Linked DNA regions of Lepisosteus oculatus. The protein of the gene in region 4 interacts with the protein of the main gene of each other region in a biochemical or structural test. Links are inferred from orthologs where the notes say so. Each region holds a gene or a part of one and is shown on either strand. Other genes may lie near its edges. The genes, in order: tbc1d10ab, cftr, ezrb and Na(+)/H(+) exchange regulatory cofactor NHE-RF1.

Region 1 (7,427 bases), on a different chromosome or scaffold from region 4:
CTGTTAGGCAGGCGAGCATCTGCATCAGGGCCTACACGAGGTCAAGCCTGACTATACGCGGCCATGTTTGTGCTGCTCCACGGTACTTAGTATTGTGCCATATTAAAATAAGCATATGACAGGGCACAAAGCCACGTCATCAGGCTTTACTCAGGTTTGACCGGATGGGTGCTCTGTGCCCATCTTCACATTGTGTTCCCTCCCACCACTGCCTGGACCTGAAATGCCACATACTCCAAACCGGAACATAAGAGCCTTGTGACACCTAAACAAGTCCGGCATTAAATACGGCTGTTGAGTCATTACTTCGATGTCAACACACACACACAGCAAGTCTCAACAGATTCAAGCAGTTAGACCAGGCAAAGAAGGCTTGGACTGCGGTTTAAGATAAAAGTCCGAGTCCAAGGGGTACAGGCGGTGGAAACCGGGCGGAAGATTTCATGAACACACACCTAACAGATTCAAACGTCAAACTCTGGGACTGAGCCTCGATACCTACACAGTCTAGCTCCAAGCACAGAACAAAGCAGGAGACAATGCAATCCCATTTTCATATGGACGACTGTATGCTCAATCATTTGTGGCACTGGATTGTAATTCAGTTCCAATGTCCAGTATCCAATTGGATTGCAACCCATTGTCACGAGCCGGAATACCTCACAAAAGAGGTTATTTTTTTTTAAGCCCGTTTCATTTTGCGCATTGAATGCAAGATCTTGCTACGTGGACTCAAGCAACTGTCGAAAGTTAGTCACCGTGTTTCTGGCCAGTTAAGTATGAATTAAAGCAACATTGACATATAATCCAAGACAACACCCAAATGTGGTAACTGGTTGCTAAGAAACCATAGAAAATCCATTATAAATACTCATCCTGTTGCAAAGAAAATGCAGTTAGAAGCCACACTCGGGTGCGACCGACTCTCAAGCATTAACAAAAACGCTTTCAGAAGCCCTACTCATTACGAGGAGCTTCAGTGACCTTTCAGCAACCTGAGTCTTTCCTAATCTTAGCTTTGAGTTAAGGCTGCCGGAAAGCCCACACAATCCTGACAAATTAAAGAATGAGGATATCTCACACTCAGACACAACTGAGCCACAGCAACCAGAGCCTGGCCCTTGACGGCAGGCTGGTGTGCTCACCAACACAAGCCCCCTGGACAGCCCACCTCAGTCCGGAACCTCTTGCACTTCTTAGGTGTGTGCATGAGGAATACCTAACATGGCTAGCTTCAGAAGGGAAAGCAACCTCTTATAAGTCCCCCCCCCCTTCAGTGCTTAAAAGAGTGAATTTCCGATAACGCTGAGTATCACCACCTTCCCCAGGGTGTTGCTTATTTTGCAGAGACAAGCCGCCTCTGTCGTCACCCAACTCGCGACACTTCACACACCCACACGACACGGGGCCCACAAGGCAGAGTGCGCGACACCCACTCCCCAGCAAAACCACGGTACACGTGGGTAACGGCCTAGCTTTACCAGCCGTCCTTTGGTAAACGCGTTACAAGTCAAGCCATGGGGGGGGGAGTCTAACCCCCGGAATACAGGTACAAGTTTCACTGCGCTGTTGAGCGAAAGCGGACAACGCCGGATGACAACAACAACAACAGGAAGAAAATAAGGTCAATAAAATGACGTGCTCGTCATAGCTACTCACGAGTGTCCCGTGTGCTGCTGGGCTCCTCCAATAAACCCATATCTGTCCGTCTGGCGCTCCGTGTTGGCGAAGCCGTTGACCTCCGAGTCCGACCCGAAGGAGCTGCTCTCCCGTTCGGCCAGACTCTCGCTCGTCCCCCGCAGGTTCTGCGGATCGGAAGACCGCAGCCCATTCTCAGTCTTGGCCATGACACCTCACCCTCACACACCCACCCTTTCCCCCTGAACCCCCAAAACCACAGCGCTGAAATAGAAGGGAGGCTCTGCACCGTCTCCACCACCCCCTTCCCCTCCCCGGCCCGGCCCGGCCCGGTTCGGCTCAGCTGCTTCCTTCTCGCGGTCCCAAGCTGTTCCTCACGTCTTCACCCCTCGCCTCACGCACAGCCCGGCCGCCCTCATTGCGCACCGAAACCCCCCGCAACGCGTTCACTTCCGTGGGCAACCGGTTAGCAACACGCCGGGAAAACGACAAGGGCGACAACAAAAAGAAAAAAAAAAGCAGAATATATATGTCCGGAGCACGGAGGTGGGAGGATGCGAATTTCAATTAAAAGCGCAAGAAGCTCTCGGGGCAGAAAAAAGAAATCCCAGTTAACTCCAAGTCCGCGGAAACACCATGGCTTGAGTGTCGCACGTCTTGTTTAAGAGACCCCCACAATCACGCAGCTACAGACGTGTGGTTGTCCAGAAACATTGCCGCCAGCGACGGCAACAGTGTAGCCCAGGTCCTCCCGGCGCGCTGCGCGGCGCCGAGCCCGGAGCAGCTGCACCGCCCTGCGCGCAGCAGAGCCTGCAGCTACGGGCAAGGGGTCGAGCACACGGGCAGGGCAGTCCGGCGGCTCGCCCGCACCCCCACGGCAGGGAGCTTCTTTAGGATTGTTTCTCTCCCCCCCCCGGTCTGTGAATCCCGCAGCTCCGGTCCCGAGTGGCTCCGCAGGCCGTCCTTTCGGAGCGCAGGGATCCCCGCCGCCGACAGAGCCGCCCTCTCGCAGGTCCGATCGGCGCAGTCCCAACCAGCCACCGCCACCTCTTTTTGTCTGTTGTAGTTAACGCAGGGGAGGGGGAAAAATACTGGTGTTTAAATCCCCCGTGTTTACTCTCTTCCACCGTCTTCCCCAAATCCTTTCGCCTTCACAGCCCACACAGCAGGGTGGGGGGAGGCGGTGACGCAGGCCACCTCTCGCTGCTTTCCCGATTAATCGCCGGGCTGCTACTCTTTCTTCGCCCCAAACACAAACAAAATGATCAAACCCAACGCGTGAACACGGCGGCTTCGCCCACCCAGCTCCGTCTGCAGCTACTGTACGTTGCCCGTGGAGCCGCCCGCGCCTGCGCGGTGCTGGACAGACCCGCCCCAGCCGTGCGCAGGAAGCCTGTATTAGTGGATGCAGTCAGTCAGTTAAGTCTATGCTGTGCTTACCGATACCTGAAGCCCCTCAGACGACCCGGGATCTCGTGCAGATGATGCGTGGTGTTCAATGCATTTGCAACACGCCGGTCGTTGTCGTCGTCATCTCCGCTCAGTCTGAAAGCAACTGCTCACTTCCCCTGTATGCCAAAAGGCTACCGAGGAGCAGCTTACTTGGGGGTTTGGAAGCGGAAGGTGTTGAGGACGTCTTTATTATCCCCCGAAGGGCAACTTGTTTTACAGCTGCAGACAATCTAAAGAAAACCCAGAGACCATACGCGTATGCAGGCAGAAGATATTCGTTCGTCAAGCGAGGATATAGTCACAGGTATACACGAGAACAAAAACCTATTGGTTTTTAAAGGTTTCTCTAGCGGTATAGGATACAAGCAGAGCTTACGGTAGGGTATATTTAATTTTTTATGATAAGTTCCTCATAAAGGTTAACCCTCTGATTGCTGGCATTGAAGGCCATGCATGTCTTCAGACTGAAAATCGAATTATGTAAACAGAAGGCACAGTTAAAGGGTGAGTGCTCAAGCTGAGGTAATGTAGTTTAAGTGTTAAGCAAGTTATACCAAACTAACAGGATTATTTAACACTAAATCGTAGGGGTCTTTAGGATCAAAGCATTTTGAAAAGACCAATTTCAGAACTGGGCAAGCACCTGGCAGATGACTAATGTAGACAACTGCACAGTGTTGTTTGGAATTAGTCTAAACTATAAGAACATGCATTTGAAGATGCTACTTCTGAAGAAAATGGGTGCTTATCATCTTCAAGACGTTAGGGAAACAATGGCAAACAGGATGTTAAGATAAATATTTAAGTGTGAAAGTGAAATCAAGGGCTATTGTTAATGTAAGGTGCACTCATAAGACATTTAGAAAATTGGGAACAGCATTGGTCACTAGAATTAAAAAATGCTGCTCTGGAATCAGCTTAGAGAAGATTAATTTTATACATTCATGAGATCAAAGAAATGGCCTATGCTCCCTTTGAGTCTTCAACAGAGAAAACTATGAGAGGACCTGATAAAATCTTGAAAGTCCTCGGAAGCACAGACAAATTCAACCGCTGGAACTTCTTGCTCAACCACACAGGACACAGGTGTTAACTTTGGGGAACTGCATTTGAAACAGAGAAGAGGGGGCGTTGTTGACACAACAGGTTGCAGGAGGTTGGAGCAAACTATCCATGTTGTTGAAGTCGATGCTCTTCCAGCTTTCAAGATGCTGGAGATCTCAGATCAATTAGCTACTAAAAACCAAAGGAACTTCGTGGGGCCCAACAGCCTTCTCGTGTCTGTAACCATTGTTATGTACTAGATTAGATGTCTTCTCAAAGAACACAGCCTCTTCAGAGCTTCTCTAAAATCTGTCACTCAACTTGTTTTAATATGTAACCTGTTAAAATTAATAGCACTGTAGTAGCAAATGCATAAGAATAATTTACACACGTCTGCTTCCTATAAATTAGATGCAACATATTAGTTGTGATAGAATCTTTGATTAACCCGCGACTGTAACCTGAGACAATCAATTTTTTTAAAACCATAAAACAATACTAGATTTGCACTGGTAAAAAGTAAAAACCGTTTAATGAAAAGCACATTAGGTGTACAACGAGGCGTTTATAGGCCATTCTTTTCAATCTTGTAAAAGTAAATTGTTGTACATTGCAGTTTGTAATGGTTTGCTGCCACCTTCCAAACATTCTAGGTACTGCAAAAACACCAGACAAATTAGAAGAAAAAAATAAATCAGTTGCTGTTATTTTCAGTCTTTTGTATTTTTTCCTGTCAAAACACACAATACTGTTTTTTTAAAGATATTACCAAAGCACAATCGACAGTCCAGAAGTCATTAGCTTGGTAACCAGTGAAAGCTTTCTGCACAGAGAACCAAATGACAGAGTCCTGCTGAACTCCACATTTTCAACAGCTATTTTTGAGAACGTCAATAGAGCCCCAATAAGATTGATTAGTTAAGTGTCTAATTATAGATCGTAGGTTTGAAACTGCACCAATTTGTTCTGTGTTCATGTAGCAGCCCTCTTTAAACATCAGGACTTTGGTATTGCAAGTCTGAAAGTAAAGATCTCTCTATTTCAATATACACTAACAACATTGAGTAATAATCGCATCCAGGTTTCACATAATAATTAGCCTCTTAATCAAATTTCTTATATCAAGGAAAAGAAAATCCATGTCCAAATTCCATGTCTCAGTACAGAGTGCACTGACTCAGTCTAATTTTTTCAATAAGACCCAGCAGGACTATAAATATGACCAAGGGAACCAATAAAATTCCTCATTTTATCTTAAGAGGAAATGAAAACCACAAGATTCCATGGTCACCGATTAGAAAACAATCTGTCATCCAAACACCATGACGCATGAAAAACAAATGGGGCTTCTATACATAGAAACCCAGCAAAACTGGACAATAAATGGTTGCAATTCGGTTACAATGTAGACTATCTTGTCAATTAATATACAAGTGGGGTCTCAAACTCTTCCTGGAGGGCCTAGTGCTGGATGAAGCTCAAGAGTTTTGTACATGTATTGGATTTTTTCCAAGTTGATTTACAGTTGATCACTTAATTTAGCCAAGTAAATGTATAGTTATGTATACAATGTCAGAGACTGAACAGACATATTACAAATACTTCAGGTGGGTAGCTGCGTCAGCATGCATAGGCTGCAAAGGAAAAAGTAATAGGTTTATTCCATACTGAAAAGAGAAGAAAAGAATGTTTCAGCTGTTGGGCAACACCTAAAGAAGGCTCCACAGCCAAAACGTTTATTTTCTTCCCTTTTCACCATGGAATAAACCTATTACATGTTCCTTTGCATATTACAAATATGCAGTTAAATAAATTAGACCAATTATGTAAGAAAGCTTAGATGGACTAAAAAGTCAATAGGCCCTCCAGGAACTCTGTTTGAAACTCCTGATCTAAAATGCATTTTGGGTTATATATCTGGAACCTCTTCATTAAAACTACATAAAAAGCAGCAAATAATTGTAACCCAATGCAAGGTCCCAGGTTTTGTTTTCTAGCCCTTATGCGAATAAGCATTCATATACTGAATGTGATTGTGTGATCATTAGGATTATTCTTTCAGAGATAAAATTCAAAAGCAGCAGTAAAAAGACTAAGCTAATGGCAGATTTATATATTGGGTCTAAAAAGGAGTCAACACAGCAGCACATAATACATGAAAACTGGTACTGAAGTGATACGTGAAAATGAGGAGACTTTTATTCACACTTTTAGACAGAACACTAATCTACTCAAGGAAAGTACAAACGTGATACATTCTGAAAGTTCTTTTAATAGCTTTCAAGTTGAATTTGAAGCTAAAATAACCATGTAAATGTAATAACTAAACAGTATTATATTTATCATAAATTGTATTTTTTCTTATCTGTGTTAAGAATAATCCCATTCTACCTAATATAGCATAAACAGATTAATGTAAAATACGGTACATAAAGCAGGAGATTTTAAAACAGGATTGAAAAAACTATTACTACACCAAGGAGATAAACAAAAATTAACATCAAAATCTTGTCTTCTGTAGTGGCTGCTTTTCTGCATCTTTGGAGATGTGATCTCATGGACACCACTCTGCGTCTTCACCCTGACACACTTAGTAAGTTAACCTACAGAAAGGAAACAGCACCGGTGTCTATGGAAAGCTGTTGAATCCCATAAATCCAATATTCCAGGCTCACTTTTTCCTGCCACCCCTCTCCTTCAGAGCCAGATGGATGACAGAGCCGTTATTCATATTGTAGTAAGCCAAAGAGTTGGAGTCTTTGATGAAAATGCCCTGAAAGTGAGAGGAAAAAAAAGTCCATAAGGGCATCAAGTCATGACGATATTAGAAGCAAACAATGGAAAAAGGTCATTCTGAACTTTCTTTAGCAGTTAAGATATTTATCAAGAGGCTAGTCTGCCCTTCATATTTATTGCCTAAATCCAACTGTACAACATATCTGGTACCACCAAAACAGCCAGGACCACCTGATTAGGAGATGTAACAGGCATGACTGTGTTTCACTTTCACATCTGTCAATCATCATTACCATCAGCAATGACTACAGAGATTTTGGTACTTTCATGTCATACTTATAAGTCCGGTTATCTTAAAGTTCATTTCGTTTTGAATGAACATGTGATTACATGTCGTTACCTTTTGCACTATGCTATTTTTTTTAACTCTAGTACTTGTATTCCAAGGGTTCAGGAAAAAAAAACTTTAATAGCAGACGTTAAGAGAAATTGATAACTTGGAACAAACTTGCCATGTTGTAACAGCATACAGGGCAGATGGAGACAACTTACCTCAT
Region 2 (7,716 bases), on a different chromosome or scaffold from region 4:
TAACATTCACAAAACTTAAGAATTATTAGTATTAAGACTACAAATGTTGCGTTTCTGAAGTGTTCCACTACGGAACACATCAAACACCAGTTGATAATAAAATAACGTCATAGGTCCACACAGATAATAGCTACTGAATTAAGGAGTATGCCTACTTAATTGGTCATCTAATGCAGAACATCCTAATTTTGAATGGGACTGCGAAATAAGTATAATTAAATGTTAATATCAAATACAAATGAGAGCATCTTAAATAATGAAACCCATACTGTATATTGTTCTTATTAAATCTCTTTTCATCCTGTTTTAGATACAACTTAAGAGTCAGAAACTTACCCCAAAGTACAACAGGACTCCATAAAAGGCAAAGGGCCAGAAGAAACAGCGGCGAATGGCATTGAGAAGATTGGGATTTTTCTTCGATGATGCAAGTTCTCTGTCCCATTCTCTACCAAAGACCGAAAACAAGGCAATTAGAAAACTGTCACTGTGTGGAAACAGACTACACAGCTTTTTTCACATAGTTAGGTTGACTCACGTATAACCAGGGAGATCTGGCTAACTTATTAAACAGTAAAGTACACAGAGACCTTGAAGATCGAAAGGGTACCAACTTGTTAATTGAATAAAAGTTCAAATTCCCAGTAGACCACATTTTTGGCTGATTAAAAATGGCTAACTATATATCACCCAACAGGGGGCTGGCAGTTTAAAAGGTCACGTTTCATGCTTATGTAAGAGAACTGCTGAGATCTAAAGAGAAATACACAAATAATGGTAAAAATAAGGGCCTGGAGGAGCTCCAGTCCCAAACAGGGTAAAAACAAGGGCAAACATCTTTTAAGTCGCATGTTTGTGTCTTTAAAGAATGACAGAGGTGACATTTGGGGGTGGCCTGCGCTTTCAATGGCAAATATCCTAATTGGTGACATTTGCAAGACTTTTTAATTATAATCGGCAATATAGCCGCATAGACTGCTAGAGATACGATGGGTAAGGCGTGTGTTTTTTGGGAATATTTCACAGTGTCTGGTGTCTCAAATGCCTACCCACATTTCAAGTAAGACCTACAGCTGAAAGTTTCAGTTGCTAAAACAAGTACTGTACAGGGTTTCTCTGGAAATACAGTAGGAAATACACTTGAATAGCAGGTCAACTAAAGGACCTGCTATTCAAAACATAAGATGATGGTTACAGTGCATATCACAAAAGGGTAACAAGAAAGAGTTATTTATAGTGTTTTTCTTTAATGTACATACAGAACAGAAATGTTATATATAATGGATATATCAATAAATATTTGTACTCAAAGACTAAAATAGTCAGATTAAGGTATTATTGCAATTAAAGGTAAAAATACAATTTTCTGGACGTTGCGCGTGAAAGCTTCAGTGAAAGATTGCGATAAATGCAAACCTTTCTAGTCTTTCAGAAAGATGGTCAGCCGAGTCAAATGAAGGCACCTGATAAACATCTGATAATTCTAATTTCTGCCTGTATCCCTTTCTCAAAATTGGTGAAGCCCACCTGTAAAAAAAAAAACAAATCATCATAAATCAGACCTACAGTACATTCACAGATGTATCACTGATTTATAAATGCCACTACTACCTACTGAACATAGATCTACATTCACAGATTTATGACAGATATCATACATGTCAATAGTATCTATTGTAAACTTAAGTAAATAGAGTGTGAAGGGGATCTTTGTTTGTAATTATTATAACCTAATTGCCTTTATTGAGAAACAACTGTCATCTACAGTAAGTATACAAACAATGTCACAATGGTTCAGTCACTGCTTCTCCTAGAACAAATGTTGTCTGTGATTAAATTTAATATATTATGGAAAGAATATACAACACAAACAATTATGCAAGCTTTTAACACATACAGTAGTTGAAAAAGTTGTACAAAACACACTGGTGTATTTACTTGTATCTACTCAGCAGTAGTTACGGTTTTCGCTATTTACTAGAGTACATGTTTTCTAAAACTACGTTTTACGTGAAGAAAACTAATGATGAATTACTTCACAGCTTTCAATACTTTCATTTGTGATAATTGTATTCTCACATTTTGACACCAAGAAGATCTCCCGCTCCAAAGTATTTAAAAAAAACACTGGCAATGTTTAACAATAGTTAACTCATAACCACATCATATAAGAAAATCGAATTAAAAAATGCGAATTCATTAAACAATAGCTGACTTCTTAATTTCCTATAACTCGGGAAAGCTTTAATGAAATCTGATCCTCAGGCACGTCGCTGCAGGTGCACTTCATAAAGTTCTGAAATAACTTCGGACAAGGTAAATAAATTAATCTGTTAGTCGTATTATATTTTCAAACTTCAATATAAAAATGAAAGTAAGAAAAGTCATGCTATATAATTATCAAACAGCAGGTTAATGAACCACGTGCAGGGGAAAGTACATACAGTATTTCTAAAAAAATATTAGGACTACCAAAACGAATAAGCTAAATGCAGATTCACATCTGCACTGCAAAACTTTAGCAAAACTTTCTTTCAATTTCCATGACAGAAGAAAAGAATCGTGGTTTCATTTTTATCCTTGACTGAAACTAGAGTAAAAAAAAACACTTACCAGAAAAAAAATCTCGAGAAGGCGTTAGCATCTTCTGCAGGTGATTTCTGCATTCTAAAACAGCTTCCGTGCACCTGAGAGATGTGCTGGTTAAACTGGTCATCTGTAAAGTCTCCAAAATTGAATCAAGTCCCCGGTTTTGTTCTCCATGTCAAGATATGTGTGCGGTGATGTCACTGGTTTAATTGGCTCTGCCCTGGTTATAGCGTGTGCGAAGGACAAACCAGAAGGTTTGAAGAGTTGCGCTGTCGAACTCCACGCTCAGAGCCCACGATAAATTCCTTGTGTGTTCTGCGTTCACTGAATATTTTCTCCTCAGTCTGTTAACCTAGAACACTCAGTACATTAAAGGGACTGATTTTGAATAGCAGTGTGCGACCCACCTCTGCCAGATTTCATTCTGAAGTTTTGATTTCCATTTAGGCAACATTGCGCAAAAAAACAGCAGGGGAATTCTTATTTCGGCCAAGGCGTTTGACAAGATGTTTAAGTCTCAATATCATTAAAGCGTTTTCTTACGGACAAGAAGAAATGAACTGGGGAATGAACACCATTTTCACAGAGCATTAAGTGTTAAATTGCAGTATGGTACATAATACAAAATTGTGATTTCTATTATTTTATAACTGACGACAAATATCAAGAAAGTTCTTTTTGCTGCTGTATCTTATTGAAGACTTTCAAGACAATTATTTTAAAAAATAATTTAAATGCAATTTGTACAGTAGTCACAGGAGAATTCACAATTATGGTAACAACCAAACCTATTCCTAAAACGGGTAAGAATAAAGGTAGAATCTGCATATCCATCTTCAGAAAAAAAAATGCAGCAGACAATTTTGTCATTTACTCCAAGCATTTCTTTTTTAAATATCCCTTATTAGCAATTCCTCCTGAACTGCATCTTGGCTCTTTGTGTCACACAGCTTCATGCAATTTAAGCAGTGTATTAGCATCTATATTTGTTAATTCTGTCCTAAACGCCTAAGAATATAAGATTAACTTCTCACATGTCTGTTCTGACATTTCTGTTTCAACTGTAAACATCAAAGGGTGGCAATGCATCATGCTTTCCTGTTTCTGATTTAAGATATTTATGTTTAGTCAGTGTTTACATCCATAAACATTTGCAAAGCAAAGCATTCATCTGTAAGTCTTGATTGTACCACACAACACTGAAAAATGAAATAAAATTTTGTAAACAGTCATGTAATAATGTGTCGGCAAACTTTTATTTGAAACAAAGTTACTCTATAACTCATGTTTTTTTACTTTGTATACAGGTATATACTGCATCATTCTTATCTTTTCAAAGCTTTAAAGAGGAGCAATAAATATTAACCTGACCCCCATAACATACAGAGTGTAAGGCAATCAATACAGAAACAAACATTATTAAAAATAAAAAGTTATGTAAACTTATTTAATCTTAAATAAGAAATAATTTTTGTATTTCAATTATATGTGAATTCAATACCTAAATAACCTTACTGTGTTACAACATCTAAGGTGTCTTCAACAGGGAAAATAGTAAGAAAGCTAACATGGTTCTCATCACACAAGGGAAAACTAAAATATTTGTTTGTAAGTCTTTTTTCCAAAATTAGATGAAAATTTCAGAGAACTCTGGAGAGGTGATCAAAAAGAAACACTAAAGAAACAAATATTCCAATCTAGACCGCATGCAGTGCTAAACGTAGGGGTCGGTGAAACACTGCTTACAACATAAGAACATGAGACCAAACAAAACCTATGGAATAACACTTTTCCAAACCAAAGAGGCTTTTTCTTTTTCTCAGCACCTACAAGCACAACTCAAGCATACAGTATTAATGATCTTTTTTGCACATTTACAAAAAAACAACTGCTACCACATTTCAGCATTCAAAACTTGGGAACCAGCTGCATCTCATGCCCAGCAATCCTCCCCCACAACCTTCTTTAAAGCTTTTACATACTGTAGCTGTTTGTACTTTAGTGCTATCTTTGCTGTTTTGGAGGAGCTGTTCAGTATTTCAATGCTACAAACAAGACCTTCAGAGACCTAAATCACTGCTATTGTACAGTATATTGAAACATTCTACAAAACTGACTAAAGTTAAATCAAATCTTTTTCTGCTTTAAATCTTCAATTATTTTATAGGAACATGTTTTTATTATAATGTACAGATGCAGTGTTTGTTTTTCATTTCTACTGTATGCACCGAAATGGGTGTAGACTTTTCAGCTTAATATTCTTAATTAACTAAAACAAAGTAACTGTTACTGATACTGGGAACTTTCTGTTAGCTTCAAGTTTCCTACATATTTTCTAAGGATTAAAAAGGTTTAGACATTCCATTGTGGAACACAGATAAAAACGGTGAAGCACAGCTACTGCTGATGGTTCAGAAGTAACCTGAGTGGACGTCTAATGAATGCATTTTAACCTGAGCCACAAAAACTCTTCGGTGAGGTAGGGGTTGATCTATGAGCCCATCCTAGAGCTTCAACTCTGACTGATTCATCCACGGTGCGACAGGGAGCGCTACAGGAGGTCATTCTTGCCTTCTGCCATAAGACTGTACAACGCATCCACCTTGCGTCTGGGCAGAGGCAACATCGACAGTGACCTGTTTCTGGACTGAACGCATCTACACATCTACTGCTACATCTGTTCTCTTTCTTTTTCCTTTCCCGTCTACAACCGTTTTTTGCCAATATATGCCAGGGACCTGTGCAATACATTTATATTTATATTTATATCTATATCTATATTTACATCTATATTTATATTCATATGTGTAATATGATTTTTCTGTGTACTGTTCTGTTCTAGTTTGTTCTTTATGTGTCCGGACTGTGGGTAACTCTTTTAGTGCACCCCTCACTGTACTGATTGTATTGTATTATTATTATTGTATCATTCGTTACACTGTGACTGTGTTGTCTGTGTTAAGCTGCTGTTGCACTGCAATTTCCCTCACGGGATCAATAAAGTACAGTATCTATCTATCAAAACACAGAAAACCGCAATGGATTTGTATTTGAATATTCTTAACATTTGGAAACAAAGTCAAGGCAAAGCATGAGACAGATACATTTTTTTTATTACCTCCAATAATGTAAAGAATAATTTTGAAAGGCTGCTGTAAAATGGCTTATTAATTGTAGAGGGTGGTGTTCCAATAGGTACCAAGCTCACAAACCAAGCCTAATCCCAGTAAAACATATAAAAACACATTATGTAAGTAATAGAAATTTCCAGAACAGTAGAGGATTACTTTTTTGTCAGAGCATTCCATAACATTGCTTCCAGTCTCTCACTGAATACATTTTTATACATTTTTGAAAACATAACTGACTCGAAATAAAACAATCACAGGTGCCAGTGACTATCTTGCCCAAAAAAGCATCCATCCAAATAAAGGGAACAAGCCCTTCTATCAAGCCCAGAAAAAAGTCCTCCAAGTCAAATAAAATAGTATATAAAAATAGGAACATGCCCCAAAATAGAACAAATGCTTATATTTGCAAAATAAGTATTGTTTTATATATATATACCTCGGAGTGTTTTAGCCAGACAGACGTAAAAAAAGAGAAACTCAAACCTTGTGAACAAAGATATTGTCAAGCTGAGCTGAAAAGTGATCCAACACACATGCCTGCCTGAGAACTCAAGTGTTTGTTCTATTTTGGAGTACATTGCCATTCTTTTTTCCTACAGACAGAATCAATACAATATAAAGGTTCCCCAAACAAAAGAAAAACAACATTTTTCCCACCCTATCAACCACCCCCATCTCCGGTCACTCGCACTCCAAATATCCAGCCAAAAGATAATAATAATAATAATAATAATAATAATAATAATAATAATAATAATAATAATAATAATAATACACTTTATTTTACTGTATATAGCGCCTTTAAAGGTGGCTTCTCAAAGCGCTTTACAAGATGACAACAACAATAAATAAGAAGAATACACAAGATAAAACACAATTACAATATATACAGGAGACCATGGATGGTGGTACTAAGAAAAGCAGAGGGGTAAAGAATGGAACCAGATAAGTAAAGGCTTTTCTAAAGAAGAGGGTTTTGAGTCTGGATTTGAAGGAGTTTAGAGAAGGTGACTCTCTGATATTCTTGGGCAGAGAGGTCCAGACCTTGGGGACATAACAGGAGAAGGCCCTGTCACCCATACAATGTAGACGGGCTTGGGGGACAGTTAGGAGACCAGAATTAGAAGAGCGAAGGTTGTGAGGCGGGGAATAGGGCGATAATAGTTCAGACAGGTACTGAGGTGCCAAGCCATGCAGAGCCTTATAGGTGAGCATGAGGATTTTAAAGTCCACACGGAATTTGACCAGAAGCCAGTGCAAGGACTCCAGGATAGGAGAAATGTGTACACTTGCACTAGACCTGGTCAGGATTCTGGCTGCTGAATTTTGGACATACAGTACTGCAGTTTGTTCAGAGTAGATTTAGATACCCCAGCGAGTAGAGCATTACAGTAGTCAATTCGAGAGAACACAAATGTGTTGATCAGCTTTTCAGCCACAGTTATTGATAGCATAGGGCATGGTCTAGCGATATTTCTAAGGTGAAAAAAAGATGTTTTGACAGTATGCTGCAAAAAGATGCCATAAATTAAATCACACAAAAGTAATGGACCCACTGTACAGTAAATCCAGGCTTGACCAGGCTGGACCACCAGTGCCCCATACTGTACATCCAAGGTGCTTCCCATCCTGGCACCAAAAACCTGAGAAATAAAATACTCTACACAAATGATGACTGGAAAAGTCAGGATCCAATGATGTCAGATAGTGGGAAGAAGAGATGGCCACCAAAAAGCCCAGAACATTTTAATCATGGTAAGACTAGCCACCAAGCATGGAGTCATCATTTAACAAGAGCACCAACAAAAATTCAAAGCAAAGCAGGTAATCGAGCAAAATATTTTAAGGATGATGTGGTTTTTGCTGTCTGCATATAAAATAAACTATATTCTGTGTTATTCTGAACGATGCATAAAACTATTTTTTCAGGACACCTGAAGAAGGCTTCACAGCCAAAACGTTGTGTTTTCTCTCTTCTTTTTTCAGCATGGAATAA
Region 3 (7,554 bases), on a different chromosome or scaffold from region 4:
ACAGCTATCAGTGATTCAAGATGTGAGGAACTACAGCATAGAACACAAAATCCATTCTGTAAGGCATATAAATGAGACAAATGTGCTGTAGGTTATTACTCCTCTGACAACAACTATTGTCATGCCAACGCATGTTAGAAAATGACAATTTAAGGACAAAAGAATAAGAGGCAGAGGTCACACTAAAGTTACTGATAAATAATATCACTACATTTATATTCTTGTTGGCTTAGCATATCATCTTTAAAAAGCAGAAACTCCATTTGGACCTAAAACTATTTTCATATAATTATTGGGACAAGAACAATTATGAGCACACATTCCTGCTTTTTCCAATAGAAGGCAAAAAGTTGTGGAATAGTTTTGATTTGACTGCATGAGATTAATCCCTCAGTTTAATTACTGAAACTACTTATGGAGAATTAGTAGCATAAGAGATTACACTCTGATTGATACAATGCCAGAACATAAATCCACTTTTTCGCACACATTTCTTCTTCCTTTCTCCAGATGGATTTGTCAATCACGTTACTAAGCATTTTGTTGAAGGCTTCTAACAGAAAGTACATACTTATTCATTTAAATACGTTTATTTAACTGTTCTTTATTTACCCATTAAATGCTCTCTGTTGCAACTTGAACAACAAAGAGTATTAAACTCTGATAGGGATAGCCTTGGTGTAATCAATTGAGTAGAATCTAACAAAATAAACTTATTTTTCATTTAATTATTTTCAGAATGTCTTGTGAGGATAAACACAAGATATTTCTAGATTCAGACAGAATATGAAACAAAGATCAGCCTTGTTTTTAGTTAAGTCCCTGAATGCTCTAGTTTCACTGAACATCAATCCTGTATTAACAACCTCTGCAATCTTTCTGAGGAACTGTCAGGGAATGTTGAACTAATCTGGAAATACTTCAACCAAAGCACACAGTATCCTTATCTCTACTTAAAGAAAAACAGGGCATCCTGAAATTCACATCTGAGCAATGATTCCTCATATACTGTACCTATGGAACCTTATTAAAAACAAGTAAAAACATTTGTATATGCAATATTATACTGAAATGTAACTTTAATCATGTAATATCAGTAACATATTAATGACATTAAATATAATATTAATTTATACTTTATAATAAGGCAATAAACTGTGGAAGGCAAGATGCTACATGATCTTAACTGGACTTCAGAATCCAAAGAAAAGCCACACATCTGGTCCTTCCATAAAATATTGCTCATGCCTTGCATACACATTTGCAAATTAGCTTACCTTTGCTTGTGTTGGCTCGAAATGTCCTTTAAATCACCGATCAAACCTATTTTGTCTCTTTCAGCTCAGAAATATAGAATATCCAAACATTATTCTAAAAGTCTAATAAATATGATGAACTATCTTAAGTCTTTTTCTATAAAGATTAAGTTGTTTAACTGCTTTTCTTTTATACTTTTCAATTTAGACATATTAAACATTGCACACATCTTGATACACATTATTATATAGCAGAGTTTCAATATTGTTTTCAAATAATTCATTGTTAAAAGAACGTGATTTAAGCTATAAACTTTAGTATATTAATATAAAGAGTATGACATTCATTGAAGAATATCCTAAATACACGGATATACAAACTCGTTTTTTTTTGTGTAATAAAATACGTTCCATCAGGGTATTGTTTGATAAATGAAAGTACTTACCGGCTTTGGCATATTCGGTTCCCTGTATGTGTTCCACCAGAGGTTCAGTAAAGTTTTCTTTCAATACTCTGGGCCAAACGCGGACGACTTTTCCTCCGAAATACTCCTCTTGAAAAAATGTAGAGGAATAAGTTTGAGAGACCTCAGAAACTATCAGAAGAAATCTGTTCTTCCGTTCAGCTTGTGTAATGTGACAGAAAATCAGGTAAACCTGTGGGATATACGTTTATGAATCATTATTAAGTATGTAACTCCTGATTAGAAACGGGCCTCACCCAAGTGAAAAAAAGACGTCCGACAGTGTGCAATACCACTAGTTAAAGGTCGCTCAGTCTCCACCCTTTTTGGTAAATACTTACCTCAGCACCTCCAAAGGTGTGACCCTTGGACGCACAGAAATAAATTCAACCAAATATATCGCCACCATTAATAAATGTAAGGGCTACCGTGATAGAAAACTTAAAATACATTAAGCGAAAACTGAAAGTACTCCGACGTCCTTGCGTTTTATAGACACACTGCTGACAATGTAACAACACGTACGGAGAAAGACTGAAGTGCAACTTCACAGGAGAAATGATTACCAATGGTTACTTTCGATCCCGTCCTTGAAATTCACAAGCTACAGGACTAAAAAGTGTTCGTGCTTAATATTCTATACAAGCAAATCAGCTTTACAATAATACATTTTCAATACGAAAGAAAATGTAAGTATCGATATATCCGTACATTTAGTTATTTAGGTTTATGCACAGACATACAGACAGATACTAGTAACAGATTTCTTTCACTTTTCCTTCAAAATAACGTCTTACTTAAAATGGCACGTATACCGTAACTTTTTTTCTCCAGATCAAGCCTGCGAGATAAATCTAAGAGCTTCACCTGAAGAGGAATACAATCATTTTAAGGAAAAGCCATCATATTTTAAACCTTGATGCGTCATTTTTTTACCCAAATGGTTGAGCAATTGAGAGAAAATAATCTGGTTTACCTAACCTTCAGCAGTTAGCCACAGCCCACAATAATCCCTGTAACACCTGTTGAGAGATTTCCTTTGAAAACCTAACAAGTGCAAAACAGAGCTGTGTAACATAACCTCCACCATCCCGCTAGACTTTACGAAAACAGTAAAGTATTCGCTTGAATATAACTTAATAAATTATCTTACCAGAAGCAGGTGTGATTTTATTAGAATCACTGACGAGCCGCAGCCTCGAAAACTCCCCTCCCTCGGCTGAAGTCAGCGGTACTGCAATATGGCTGACCCACTCATTCTGTCCTACAGTGCTCTATTCATTTCTATCTCCCTGTTCCTGGGTTCCTGTTTTGTCACCGCTGGGGCGAATCCAACAGCGACTCCTATCAGCAACAAGCTCTGACAACATCCGTGGAGCTCGAGAGAATAATTTAAATAAATAAATGAAAGTGAATAGGGAGACCAGAACACAAAGAAGACGAAGAGTTCATGCGGCTAATGATCTCCTACAGTGTTCTTAGACTATAGCCGGCAGACGTCTGGTTGAAATGTCTGCCTCGCCTACGGTACATATAAATAAAAAGTTACGACCGAATGAATGGTAACTTTAACAATCTTGAGGACTAAACTTTTCGCGAACTTTGAAAATGTAATACATAATGTCTTAAGAAAGAAAAATAAACGATGAATTCATCTGATATCGAGACGTGTGTGGTTTTATGCGTTTCTATGTGCAGCAGCTGGATCCAGGGAAACCACCTTACAATAAGGCATAATACATCTTTCACAAGTTTTTGCGTTTTATCTTGTCAAGATAGAAGCTCCTCTGAAACAAATGATGTTGTACACAGCACTATCAGTACAAGGCCTGTTTTAATTTAAAGGGCGGTGAGCAGTGACTTTCGTTGCCATGTGTGAATTGTTTACTCACTATAGAAAGGTAAAAATCAATCATCTCCAATAATCACATCAATCATGGCTGAAATAGAACGTGTCTGTCATGTCAAGAAATATTAGTTGCAATTATTAGGTTCATAAAACTAGAAGTAGTAAAGTAAACATACTTCTTGTGGTAGAAACAGCCACAATATGACTGATAATAAGAAACCCACAGGCAACGTAATACAGACTTTCACTGAATAGGTTATCTTTGTCAGAATTGTTAGTCTACTTTTAGAGGTGATAAACCTCTACCGTAGCTCAAATAACCATTTAGTGACCTGTAAACATAACAAAGGAGTTAATTTTTTCCTTGAAATTCCTTAGATTTCTGAAGAAGAAAATGTGATCATCACTCAATCCTTTCAGAAATAATTAAATGGTGCAGGACCTAAAAAAGAATGGTTTACACAAATGTTATCAAAATATATTGAATATTTACATATGTAAGATAGAAAACTACAAACCATGAGTATTTTCATGTTTAGTATGTTGATGTGTATTACACAAATACTAGAATAAGAAACTTCTAGAGGTTTATGTAAAACATCTGAGGATTTGTTAGAGTACCACAGAACTACAAACATTAGAGGATTAAAGCTGAAACATTTGTTGTCATCATATTTACAAAATATGGATAAATTTGAACTTTAGGCATTTTAAATTTTTGTTGTTATTTTTATAAGTATGCTTTTGATATATTTAGTCCTGCTTTTCACATCATAAGTGATGGGAAATCTTTGTGTACACCTCTGCTTTTCCCTTGCAAAATTAACTTGTAGTGACTGTTTATCACAGGTACAGTACATACTGTATGGAGGGTGCTATAAGTGGTCAACACTAATCTGTAATAAAGATGTGCAACCTCTTATTTTAATTATTGCTCAGTAACGTTTTAATTTTCTCCACACAGAGATTTGTAATCACTCTCACTGGTAAGTTAAATGTAAGTAAAATGTATACAAATACAGTAAGCTGCTATCTTATTCATATCCCATGGCTCCATTTGTTTCATTTTTTTATTTGAAATGTTTTTTTTTTCATGCTAGCTCATGTAAAACTCATAGGTTCAGTTTCTTTTAACAGTTGACAATGTACTTCTTCTATTCTTTTGCTGTTCAGACCTGTTTGAACAGTGGAATAGCTTGGATTCAGGAGTCCTTCTGTTCATCTTATCAGATGCAGGGTTTTAACAGAGTTTAAATCTAGATATCGGTTTGGTCATTTCACACTTTCATGCTTTACCCATGAACCACCCATGATCATCATCAGACAAGGTGATTCTTAAAAGAACTGCACACATTTACACAGAACTGCTTGTAGGGATTGTGAAGGAAAGGTTGGGCCCGAGAAACTACTATAATCAGTATGCTTATTTGAAAATTTCTCTTTGGCAAAATTTCCTCTTCCTTGCCCTTATACAGTAAATAGGCATTATATACGAACAACATACAGAAATATGTCAGTCTGTATTGGTTATTATACAATTTCTTATAATCATCCTTTTACCCAGATCTGTAAACAATATTATGCCTTTATCCAGAGATGATCACCCCCCGCAAAAAAATAAAATAAATTTTCACTAATAATGCAGGAGTGAAAACATATTAATTCTTCTTCATTCTAATGCTATATTTGCTAGAATATTGTTATCTTTGAACAGAAATGGAAAAGTTTTTGATAACATGCAGTGAACCTTTGATGGGGAAGTTGTCAAGGTGTGGTGGCAGCTTATTGTGTTCTCATTTTAAAAGGAAAGCTGTGTAAGTCAGGGAGGGCGTGTGTGATGCTTAATGAATCAGCTTGCGTATGACATATCTTGGTTTCTCTGATCACTGCTACTCTGTCTTCATTATTATAAAGGTTCAGAAACAGCATGTATAGAAATGCTGATATTGGTACAATATCTGTAGTTGTCTCTTAACTTTGTAGTAACATTTCTGCTTCTTATGCAGTAGTAATTGGATGAGCCCATACTACTGTGTATATGAAGCTTACCAGCAGCCAGCAGCCATATCACCCTGCAACTCACAACTGGCAACCCACTGAAGCTAAGCAGGTGTGAGCCTGGTCAGTACCTGGATGGGAGACCTCCTGGGAAAAACTAAGGTTGCTGCTGGAAGAGGTGTTAGTGGGGCCAGCAGGGGGCGCTCACCCTGTGGTCTGTGTGGGTCCTAATGCCCCAGTATAGTGATGGGGACACTATACTGTAAACAGGCGCTGTCCTTCGGATGAGACGTAAAACCGAGGTCCTGACTCTCTGTGGTCATTAAAAATCCCAGGGTGCTTCTCGAAAAGAGTAGGGGTGTAACCCCGGTGTCCTGGCCAAATTTCCAATTGGCCCTTACCAATCATGGCCTCCTAATAATCCCCCTCTATGAATTGGCTACATCACTGTGCTCTCTTCCCCACTGATAGCTGATGTGTGGTGAGCGTTCTGGCGCACTATGGCTGCCGTCGCATCATCCAGGTGGATGCTACACACTGGTGGTGGTGGAGGGGAGTCCCCATTACCTGTAAAGCGCTTTGAGTGGAGTGTCCAGAAAAGCGCTATATAAGTGTAAGCAATTATTAATTATTATTATTACCAGCAAAACAACACTTCCTAGATGCCACAGCACCTCTCAATTTTGGGGGAAAGGTGCCCCAAATGTGGACAGGGCTACTCTGCTTCTGGGTACAGAATAAATAACAGACAGGACACATGACAGGGTAACACACAACAATTTAAGAATACATGTATTTTTGGAAAGAAAAATGCATAATCCCATAAATGTCTCTGTTTGAATCTTACTAAGCATACCACACAGTGCACGTACATTCTTACAACATCACAAGCTGAATAGATTTTCTAAATAGATTTTCTAAAATAATGAGCAAATACCAAACCTAGACGTTCATCGTGTGATCGAAGACTTTAGTGAATCTTGACTTTATAGTGAGAAAGAATAAAAAATACTGTTTTTTCCCTTACCCTCTCTGCATACAGTTTCCAAACCTTTAAATGGTTTATATGAACTCAGGATTCAGTTTTTCTGTTGAAGCCATCAGCATATCCCCCTTTTGCATATATTTATATAGCCCAGAGGAAATTCAAAAAGATAAAGTGATTAAATGCAACCTTCAAGAAAAAAAAAAACAATTTTCAAGCATGTTTTTGCCTTGTGCATACAAATATATAATACATATATATATATATGTGTGAGTCTGGGGGCTTTAATTTCCATTCACACCTAAAAGATGATCTTTCCGTGAAAAAAGAATGAGCAATCAAAGTTGTAGATCGGTGAGAATCAATCCAGGTCCAAGAAAATCTCAGCCAACTGATAAGAATACCGCACACCCCTTTCACTGTCACAGATAGTAAAAATACTTTATAAAGACTTTTAATTTGATTTAGTTTATTATAATTAACAATTTTCTTTGTTGACTTCAGCTTTAACGGTATAGCCTCTTATTTCCAAAACTAGAAAATAATGTTTAACCCAATCATCCGGGTTGCTTTGACGTTTCTGTGGTGTATCTGGCTATCGCAGTGTGGCAGGGCGTTCTGCAAATTCATATTCAATAAACCTTACTAGCACAACAAACAGGATCATAGCAACACAACTTTTGATCCGTTAGCGAACTTTTTTTCTGCAGTGATGCAAGCGTCTATTTACACCCATACCACTGCGTTTCTAATTGTATTACGTGAGAGTTTCAAAGGGTTTGACCAGCAGTGCCTGTCGCAAATGCACGCCCATGACACAAAGACAGTGGAACTCTGATCTAGGTGGGGAGGTGTCGTAACCGGACATAGCCAATAGCAGTACAAGATTAAAATAGATCTGTATATATCTGCTGTAAATCCAGCAGCGCAAATTAGACCTGCCTGCAACAGGTTGATGAACGCGGGATGTACAGTACGCTTAGACTTGTGGTCGAGAGTTTT
Region 4 (7,365 bases):
GGGATGCTTTTCAAACAGCTCTATCGTGAGAAGTGTACAGCATGGAGCAGTAAAATCTGGAGCTCATACAAAGAGGAACACAAGGAACTCCTTCCCACATGTGCACACATTACACAGCAGAGGATAAAGCAGCACAGCCCAGAGGCCAACAGCTCCAGTCTACAGCAAGAGTCTCAAATCCTGATCTTCCATCAGGTACTGTTGGTACTGTAACCATCAAATCATTTATCTAGAAAGACGTGGAAAAATTGTGATGGTATGGTAAAAAGAATGGGTTTAAAGATGTAGTGCAAAACTGAATTAAGGGACTAGAGTTCCTTTAATTGAATAAATTACTAACTTAACTGATTGGTAATTTACAAGTATTCCCGCTCTTTAGAAATATGTAACTTAGGGAGACCAGTAATACAGGATGTAATACTAGATTAAGGCTTTCCAGAGCATGGGTTGGACATCCCTATTCAAGAGTATAAAATCATCAATATGCCTAAAGTAGCTTCTTCCGGAAGGAACACATTCTCTCTGGTCCTATTTGTACTTCGTTTATCAAATTATACTGGCACAGGTCTCTCAATACCATTATCTGTAACAGCTTCTTCCTGCAGGCTGTCAGGCTCCTCAACACCCTGGAATCTACTTGCCCCCGGCCCAATTCCAGAAACAGGGTTAAGATCCCCCCAGTGTGGTGTGTATATTGGATTATATATTGCCTTGTATTTTGCACTATCTGCACTTTGCACTATGTGTATCCTGTCTACAATGTCTATGTCAGTGTCCTGTCTGTCCTGCCTGTATTTTCACTGTGGACCAGGTGGAACGGTATTTCATTCCACTGTATACTTGTATATGGCTGGAATGACAAATAAACTTGAACTTGAAATTAAGAAGGTGAACTACATTAAGAAGCATCCTTTAGAAACTAATATTTGTGTCTTTCTTTTACACTGTGTGATATATTGTTTGTATTGGACACAATGAAAACACATCGAGGCTATACAGTACCTTTTATATGTCTTTCCATAGTGGAAGAGGAGGTGGAGTCTTTCCTTGTTGGATTTTAGGATCTTTTTAAAAATGTTTTGGAACCTCACATTCAACTGAAGAAAGAGATAGGGGGCAACAGAAATATTTTATGTTGTTCTGTACAAGAGGTGGGAGGACTCTCAGGTATGGTTTTGAGTCACTGGGAGGGTGTTCCCAGCCAGTAGTAGGTGTTGTGAATATACTATGAAGTCACACTGTACAGTAGCTGCCAGCCAATTCGGATCCATAGCATATTGACTATATTCTCAAATATATAACTATATATAATATATAAACTGGATGGTTCATTCCTCTTTATCCTGTGCATGCTAGTAAAAGCATATAAAATTCAATCAGTCAATTCAGTTTTCATCATCAGACCTGGAACTACAGTATAATGACATGTAATATTTTTTTGGATAACTGAAAAACCTTTTTTGTCAGGATCCTGTCAGGGCAGGGAGGTTAACTACTGTAGATGTTTTTTTGCTGAATACCATGGCAAGTGTATGAGATGCAAAACTGACAAAGGCAACTGGAGTTCATGCACGGGTCACTGCAATTCCAGGATGTGTTACTTCAGCATTTTGCCTGTCAGAACCAGAAGCACAATTCCTGTTCTTAAATTTGCTGATTCGCAGCCTGCAGCACACTCAATCCACTATATACTCTAGTTGCATCAAACCTGAATATCTTCTATAGAAAATCAGCACTGGGTGTGCCCCGATGACTTCTGTGGAAACTGGCAGTGTTACTATGGAGTAGATTTCTAATTGAGCACATCCATTACATCCAAACTATTGAGAATTATTTCAATTTATAATTCTCTATTTATAGAACTTTACTTAACTCAAATACATAATGTGCTGCATCGTCTGTAGTAGTGCCACTACAAGGTACAATTGAAATTATCAATGTAAAGAGAATAGATTGCTATGTCAAGAACACCATGTGCAGGTCTCATGATATTTTGATGATATTTTGAGGGGGTAACCTAGGTCTGAAAAATGACTTCTCATAGCTACTTTTAAAAACTTGCAGAAATCTAGAAAATAATATGCAATGAAGGAATTTTCTAGTCTACTTTGTACAAAACACTGTTGTTACGTAGGAGGCCTTTACAATATAAAAATTCAGCCCATTGAATGTTGTTATTTATGACCTGTTTCAGAAAGGGCAGAGCAGAAATGCATAAAATGGTCAAGAGAGAATTCATTTTTTATTTTATTATTCAAGCATGTGTTTGAGGAAGAGATTAGAAATCATATACCTAAGTCTCAAGGACAAATAAAGCAAACAACATGGACGCCGTGACTTCAGATTTTAAAGATTTTGCATAAAGTACCATCATTCTTTACATGTCTGTTTTTATGCATACTTTTTAAATTAGCTGTGAAGCAGTTCAATTGTTAAAAATTACCTGGCTCAATTGATAATTACACAATAATGTCTCATAAATATTTATGCTGGATTTGTGGATGTTCTTAATATTGTATTTATACCATTATTTATACCATTACAGTTAGGATATAAAAAAGTGCTCAATGCTTCCAACATTAAAGTTGGACTTCCAACTTTAAATACATTAAAGTTGGAAGCATTGAGCACTTTTTTATATCCTAACTGTAATGGTATAAATACAATATTAAGAACATCCACAAATCCAGCATAAATATTTATGAGACATTATTGTGTAATTATCAATTGAGCCAGGTAATTTTTAACAATTGAACTGCTTCACAGCTAATTTAAAAAGTATGCATAAAAACAGACATGTAAAGAATGATGGTACTTTATGCAAAATCTTTAAAATCTGAAGTCACGGCGTCCATGTTGTTTGCTTTATTTGTCCTTGAGACTTAGGTAAAGCGCCCAAACATGGGATATGGAATGTTGGTAGCCAAATAATACTGGTTTGATCTGGTAAGAGTGATTTGAAATTGGTTTTGGATTAATGATAATAATTATTCCTTACACTTATGTAGTGCTTTTCTGGATACTTCGCTCAATGAGCTTTACAGGTAATGGGGCTCCCCTCTACCACCATCAATGTGTAGCCCCCACCTGGATAATGTGACGGCAGGCATGGTGCACCAGTACACTCACCTCATGTCAGCTTTCAGTGGGGAGGAGAGCAGAGTGATGAAGGCAATTCATAGATGGGGATTATTAGGAGGCCATGACTGTTAAAACCCCTGGGATTTTTAATGACCATGGAGACTTAGGACCTCGGTTTTATATCTCACCCAAGGCGTAGCCTTTTGGACAGTGTTGTGTTCTCATACTTGGGGTATTAGGGTACTATAGGGGGTAGCAGGTCTCCCAGGTAATGGCCAGGCTCCCACCTGCTTAGCTTCAATGGGTTGCTAGTTGTGAGTTGCAGGGTGATATAGCTGCTGGGTAAATTAAAAATAAATTAAAAATATTAAAAAACAGTCTAGGCTTTGCAAAGTGATATAAAGTTATAGAAGAAGTATAAAAGGAAATGTAAATTTCTCTTCTAAAGGAATTTTGAAGAGTGGGTAACGTTTTTAGAAAGCTAAGAACTGGGTAACTGCAATAATGCAATGCAATAATAATGGGAGCAAATTACTCTGACAGTTTCCACCTGAAGTATACAGCTCAGAAACTAAAAAAAAAACGCACTCCATCTCTAGTGTTACTCAACTGTGCGAGTGGGCACTTTCGAGCAGAAACAAGTTTTCAGTTGTTAAAAACGTTACGGAAATAACATTTGTGTTCGAAGCAGTACCAATACCACAGCAGATGTTAACCCATGAAAACAAATTACTAAAGTCATAAAAGGTTTTCTTTAAAAATCTTGTGCTGCCGTGGATCTCCATCGAGGGCAGTAAGATTCCGATAAACCCCTATGCGAGCTCGAAATCCCTCCAGGTATTAAGTTATGTCTGTGATGAAGAATTGTGTTGCCGACATTATAACTGTAAGTTACAATTACATATTCTAATGTCTCAAATACTTCTTTCTCGCATTGATTGGTACTGTAGTACTAAGCAGTTTATACAGACTTTACACGTTCTTTGTGGGGATCTGATATTACTCAACTCCCTTCGGTTAAATTCCATGGGTTGCGCTGATTGGAAAATGCACACCTCAACAATAGAAGTGCAACAAAGTGCACTTCCTTTGCAGGAAGATAACAATTATCTTACCGTGTGGCTATCTGAAACTTGAATTACTCTATTATTTTGACAGTCGCCATTGGCTCATAAAAGCTCTCTTTGTGGTAAAGTTACTTGAACGGCGGACAATGATTGGTGCTGTTGGCTGTCATCTGTGGAAACGTCATGCTGCCTTATAAACTGCGCGGAGTTAATTTGAGTAACCAGATTGGAGGCTTTCGGCTGTGACGGAGAGTGCAACCCTTTTCGTGAGAAAGAGTTCAGACTGTCGTGAAGTTTTTAGGAGACTTGTGTGCACTTTAAAAAGGGAATTGCAGCTGGCGGTGACAGGGACAAGTCACATCGAGACGTCTGACGATTTTAAAAGCGAAATCTATCCATTTGCATTTCCTTAACTGCAAGTTTGGAAGTTACACCGCACTTTTTGAGTAACTGTGCAAACGTGTTGTTCCGTGCACGTTTCTGGCGTTGGTGGCGACCTATTTAAATAAGACTTTTTTGGAGTACCTGACAACATTACACTCAACAGTTTTTTTTATCAGAATAACAAGGATGTCCAGCCATAGCGAATCTCTTCGACCCAGGTTGTGTTCGCTGGAGAAAGGGGGGAATGGTTATGGTTTTCACCTCCACGGGGAAAAGGGGAAGACCGGTCAGTTCATTCGGCTGGTGGAGCCGGACTCCCCAGCTGAAGCGTCGGGGCTCCGCGCCGGCGACAGGCTGGCGTTTGTCAACGGGGAAAGCGTAGAGAGCGAGAGTCACCAACAAGTGGTGTCCAGGATAAGAGCAACAACCGGGGATCTGAAACTGATCGTGGTGGACCGGGAGACCGACGACCTGCTGAAAAAATACAACCTGAAGTGCCAGCCGGAGTATGTCACGTCGGGCATCCCTATACCGAGCGAGTCAGAGGAGGAGGTCGGGGAGAACGGCAGCCGACGGGGCTCTTCTCCGACCCCGGAGAAAAATGGAGATATCACTGGCGAGAAAAAGCCGAGTGTCAGCTCCGAGAAGGTAAGATGGATTCAATTTAAACGTGTTCCCAACGGTTGTTTCGAGATCTGATTTAAAATCCCCCTTTCGTCAAATGCAAGCATAGAAAACCTGTTTACCGCACTTTTCTCTCGTTGTATCTCTTTTTTGTTCAGCTAGTCTCGCGTTTGTTTTTTGTGTTGCTGTTAAGAGTCCAACTCTTACAATTAGATTTTGAGAAACTGCCAGCTACCTGCACTTCGGGGGAAAAAGTTTTTAAGATTACTAGTATGATTGAATGGAGTATGCTAGGTAATGCTCTTTAGGTAAGTACTTCTGTGATTTACAATGTGGTAGCTCGCATCATACACTAATAAACAAGCCCCCTTTATTTTTGTATGGAACGAAACCAGTTTGTGTAGTTCCAAAACAACAAAAAAAAAACAAATGAGTGTTTTATCAGTCTGGTTTCTGAAAAGTTAGTGAAAACAGGCTGTTTCTCTAGCTGAATTCCAGTATTTGGCATTCGGTTCAGGCAGCTTAACACTCGCCTCCAACAGTATGTTTGTGGGCAGCGTAGGAACAGCACAGGCTTTGTCCGCCTCTATTGTCGCACAGGTGCGGGAGGTTCAGAGCTCCAGGTAGCAGAGCGCCGCGGGCTCGGGTGGAAGGAGTGTTCCGTCAAACTGCGTGGGAATTTTTTTCCCCGGTTTCCCAATCTTTGAACGCAGAGCTAAAGCTTAAAGGAACATTTGTTACCACCCAAACGTGCGACAGTTTATTCACATCTCGCGATTTATCAGCTGAAGTAATGCTTTCGGACCGCAGAAATGTTTCTTCCGTTTCCTGGCTGACCTAGGTAAAGTAAACGAAAATACTATAATGTAAATCTAAGTTACTTTTAAGGAGACAGCTTGGACCCACACTGGAAAGGTTAATAGGTCTGTTTAGAGCAGAGGCTGGGAAACACGTGGTTGTTAAAGTTCAGAGCAGATACTCAGAAATTTGACCCATCTCATGGACATTATGCTTTCCTTGTCAGGAGCTTTTGCCTGCTTTTCTGAAATATTGATGTTTCTTGTTCATGCATACTGTGAGTGATCTGTCTCGTGGTGATTGGCACTCCTCCAACGTAACATTTATGGGGGTAGTGTTTGTCAAATCAATGCTATGTTATCCCATGGAAAGAAACATTCACCTATCTATCTGTATCAATTCAGCATCATGGGGGAGTTAATCCTGTCCCAGAAAGCAAAGGGTACAGGGTTTGATGCATCTTGCATGGGACAACAGACACACTCACACCAGGGCCAGTTTTCCCAGAAGTCAATTAACCTACTAGTATGTCTTTGGACTGTGGGAGGAAACCAGAGCACTGAGAGGAAACCCACATGAACATGGGGAGAACTCAGGGCTCCACATTCGCAAGGCAGCAGTACTAACCAATGTGCTGCTAAAAAAAACATTGAAGTTGTGTATACTTTTTGTAATCATTTTATCAGTGACGTGTGCTGACTAGCTACTCTGAAAGATCGTCTGTATCTCCCATTAGATATGTGACGTAAGAACTTTGAAGATACAGGTTAAAGGCTGTTCCAATCTTTTAGTGCTTTGTGGGTAGCCATTATTATATTATGGATAATCAGTCTGCTCAACCACATGAAAACTAGTTGTGATGTAAAAATCTGCAGCCTCCTTTAAATTGAATTTACAGTAGATTTCTTCACGATAGGACAGTTAAACAATGCTTCTTGAGCTCGTAGTTCTTATTTAAGACTTTCCAAAAAAAAATCAGAAGATATTGTGTGGAAATTAAATACTGGATATTAAGAACTGCTGAAAATGTGCTTTTCTGCATCTTGCAACAGAGCTTGTAAAATTTTCAGTCCAAACTGTAAGAGGTGACTTGGTTTTATTCAGCATCTTGGTGTAACAAGTTCTGGGTTTGTTTCACTGAGAGTCTGTGAAATAACTTTAAAAAAGTGTTTAAAACAGTTTTTTTCCCACCTTTTGTAAGGTTGAGTCCTGTGAAACTCAAATGTTCTTAAATTTTATTTTTGATTTTACAGTGTCCTTAAAGCAATTAAATGTACAGTAGTTGTCTTAGCTATGGCACTGCCCAAACCATGCTGGTGTCACCAACATTTTTGGCCCCTTTTCTTTAATTTGGAGCTGTACAGGATTCCCCTGAAGAGAAACAGCCACCTTCTCGTCTTCACGTGACGCA

The links.
Region 1: the proteins of Na(+)/H(+) exchange regulatory cofactor NHE-RF1 (region 4) and tbc1d10ab form a complex in vitro, tested with the Homo sapiens proteins (2 studies listed by BioGRID and IntAct). The link is inferred for Lepisosteus oculatus from reciprocal best matches to the Homo sapiens genes NHERF1 and TBC1D10A.
Region 2: the proteins of Na(+)/H(+) exchange regulatory cofactor NHE-RF1 (region 4) and cftr form a complex in vitro, tested with the Homo sapiens proteins (9 studies listed by BioGRID and IntAct, with this or other methods). The link is inferred for Lepisosteus oculatus from reciprocal best matches to the Homo sapiens genes NHERF1 and CFTR.
Region 3: the proteins of Na(+)/H(+) exchange regulatory cofactor NHE-RF1 (region 4) and ezrb form a complex in vitro, tested with the Homo sapiens proteins (2 studies listed by BioGRID and IntAct). The link is inferred for Lepisosteus oculatus from reciprocal best matches to the Homo sapiens genes NHERF1 and EZR.

Annotation. Positions count from the first base shown.
Region 1 is NC_090717.1:13,823,408-13,830,834, reverse strand, and holds the start of tbc1d10ab (TBC1 domain family member 10A), read right to left. Parts: upstream 3,011-7,427; 5' UTR 1,848-3,010; coding exon 1,660-1,847; intron 1-1,659. Other genes in the region: sf3a1 (splicing factor 3A subunit 1), read right to left, coding at 6,806-6,907, 7,423-7,427.
Region 2 is NC_090702.1:45,444,094-45,451,809, reverse strand, and holds the start of cftr (cystic fibrosis transmembrane conductance regulator), read right to left. Parts: upstream 3,015-7,716; 5' UTR 2,667-3,014; coding exon 2,614-2,666; intron 1,528-2,613; coding exon 1,417-1,527; intron 449-1,416; coding exon 337-448; intron 1-336. UniProt on the Homo sapiens protein: Epithelial ion channel that plays an important role in the regulation of epithelial ion and water transport and fluid homeostasis. Mediates the transport of chloride ions across the cell membrane.
Region 3 is NC_090697.1:44,087,931-44,095,484, forward strand, and holds the start of ezrb (ezrin b), read right to left. Parts: upstream 3,014-7,554; 5' UTR 2,874-3,013; intron 2,789-2,873; exon of another isoform or gene 2,697-2,788; intron 2,164-2,696; exon of another isoform or gene 2,062-2,163; intron 1,811-2,061; 5' UTR 1,715-1,810; coding exon 1,703-1,714; intron 1-1,702. UniProt on the Homo sapiens protein: Probably involved in connections of major cytoskeletal structures to the plasma membrane. In epithelial cells, required for the formation of microvilli and membrane ruffles on the apical pole. Along with PLEKHG6, required for normal macropinocytosis.
Region 4 is NC_090704.1:34,890,412-34,897,776, forward strand, and holds the start of Na(+)/H(+) exchange regulatory cofactor NHE-RF1, read left to right. Parts: upstream 1-4,357; 5' UTR 4,358-4,718; coding exon 4,719-5,180; intron 5,181-7,365. UniProt on the Homo sapiens protein: Scaffold protein that connects plasma membrane proteins with members of the ezrin/moesin/radixin family and thereby helps to link them to the actin cytoskeleton and to regulate their surface expression. Necessary for recycling of internalized ADRB2.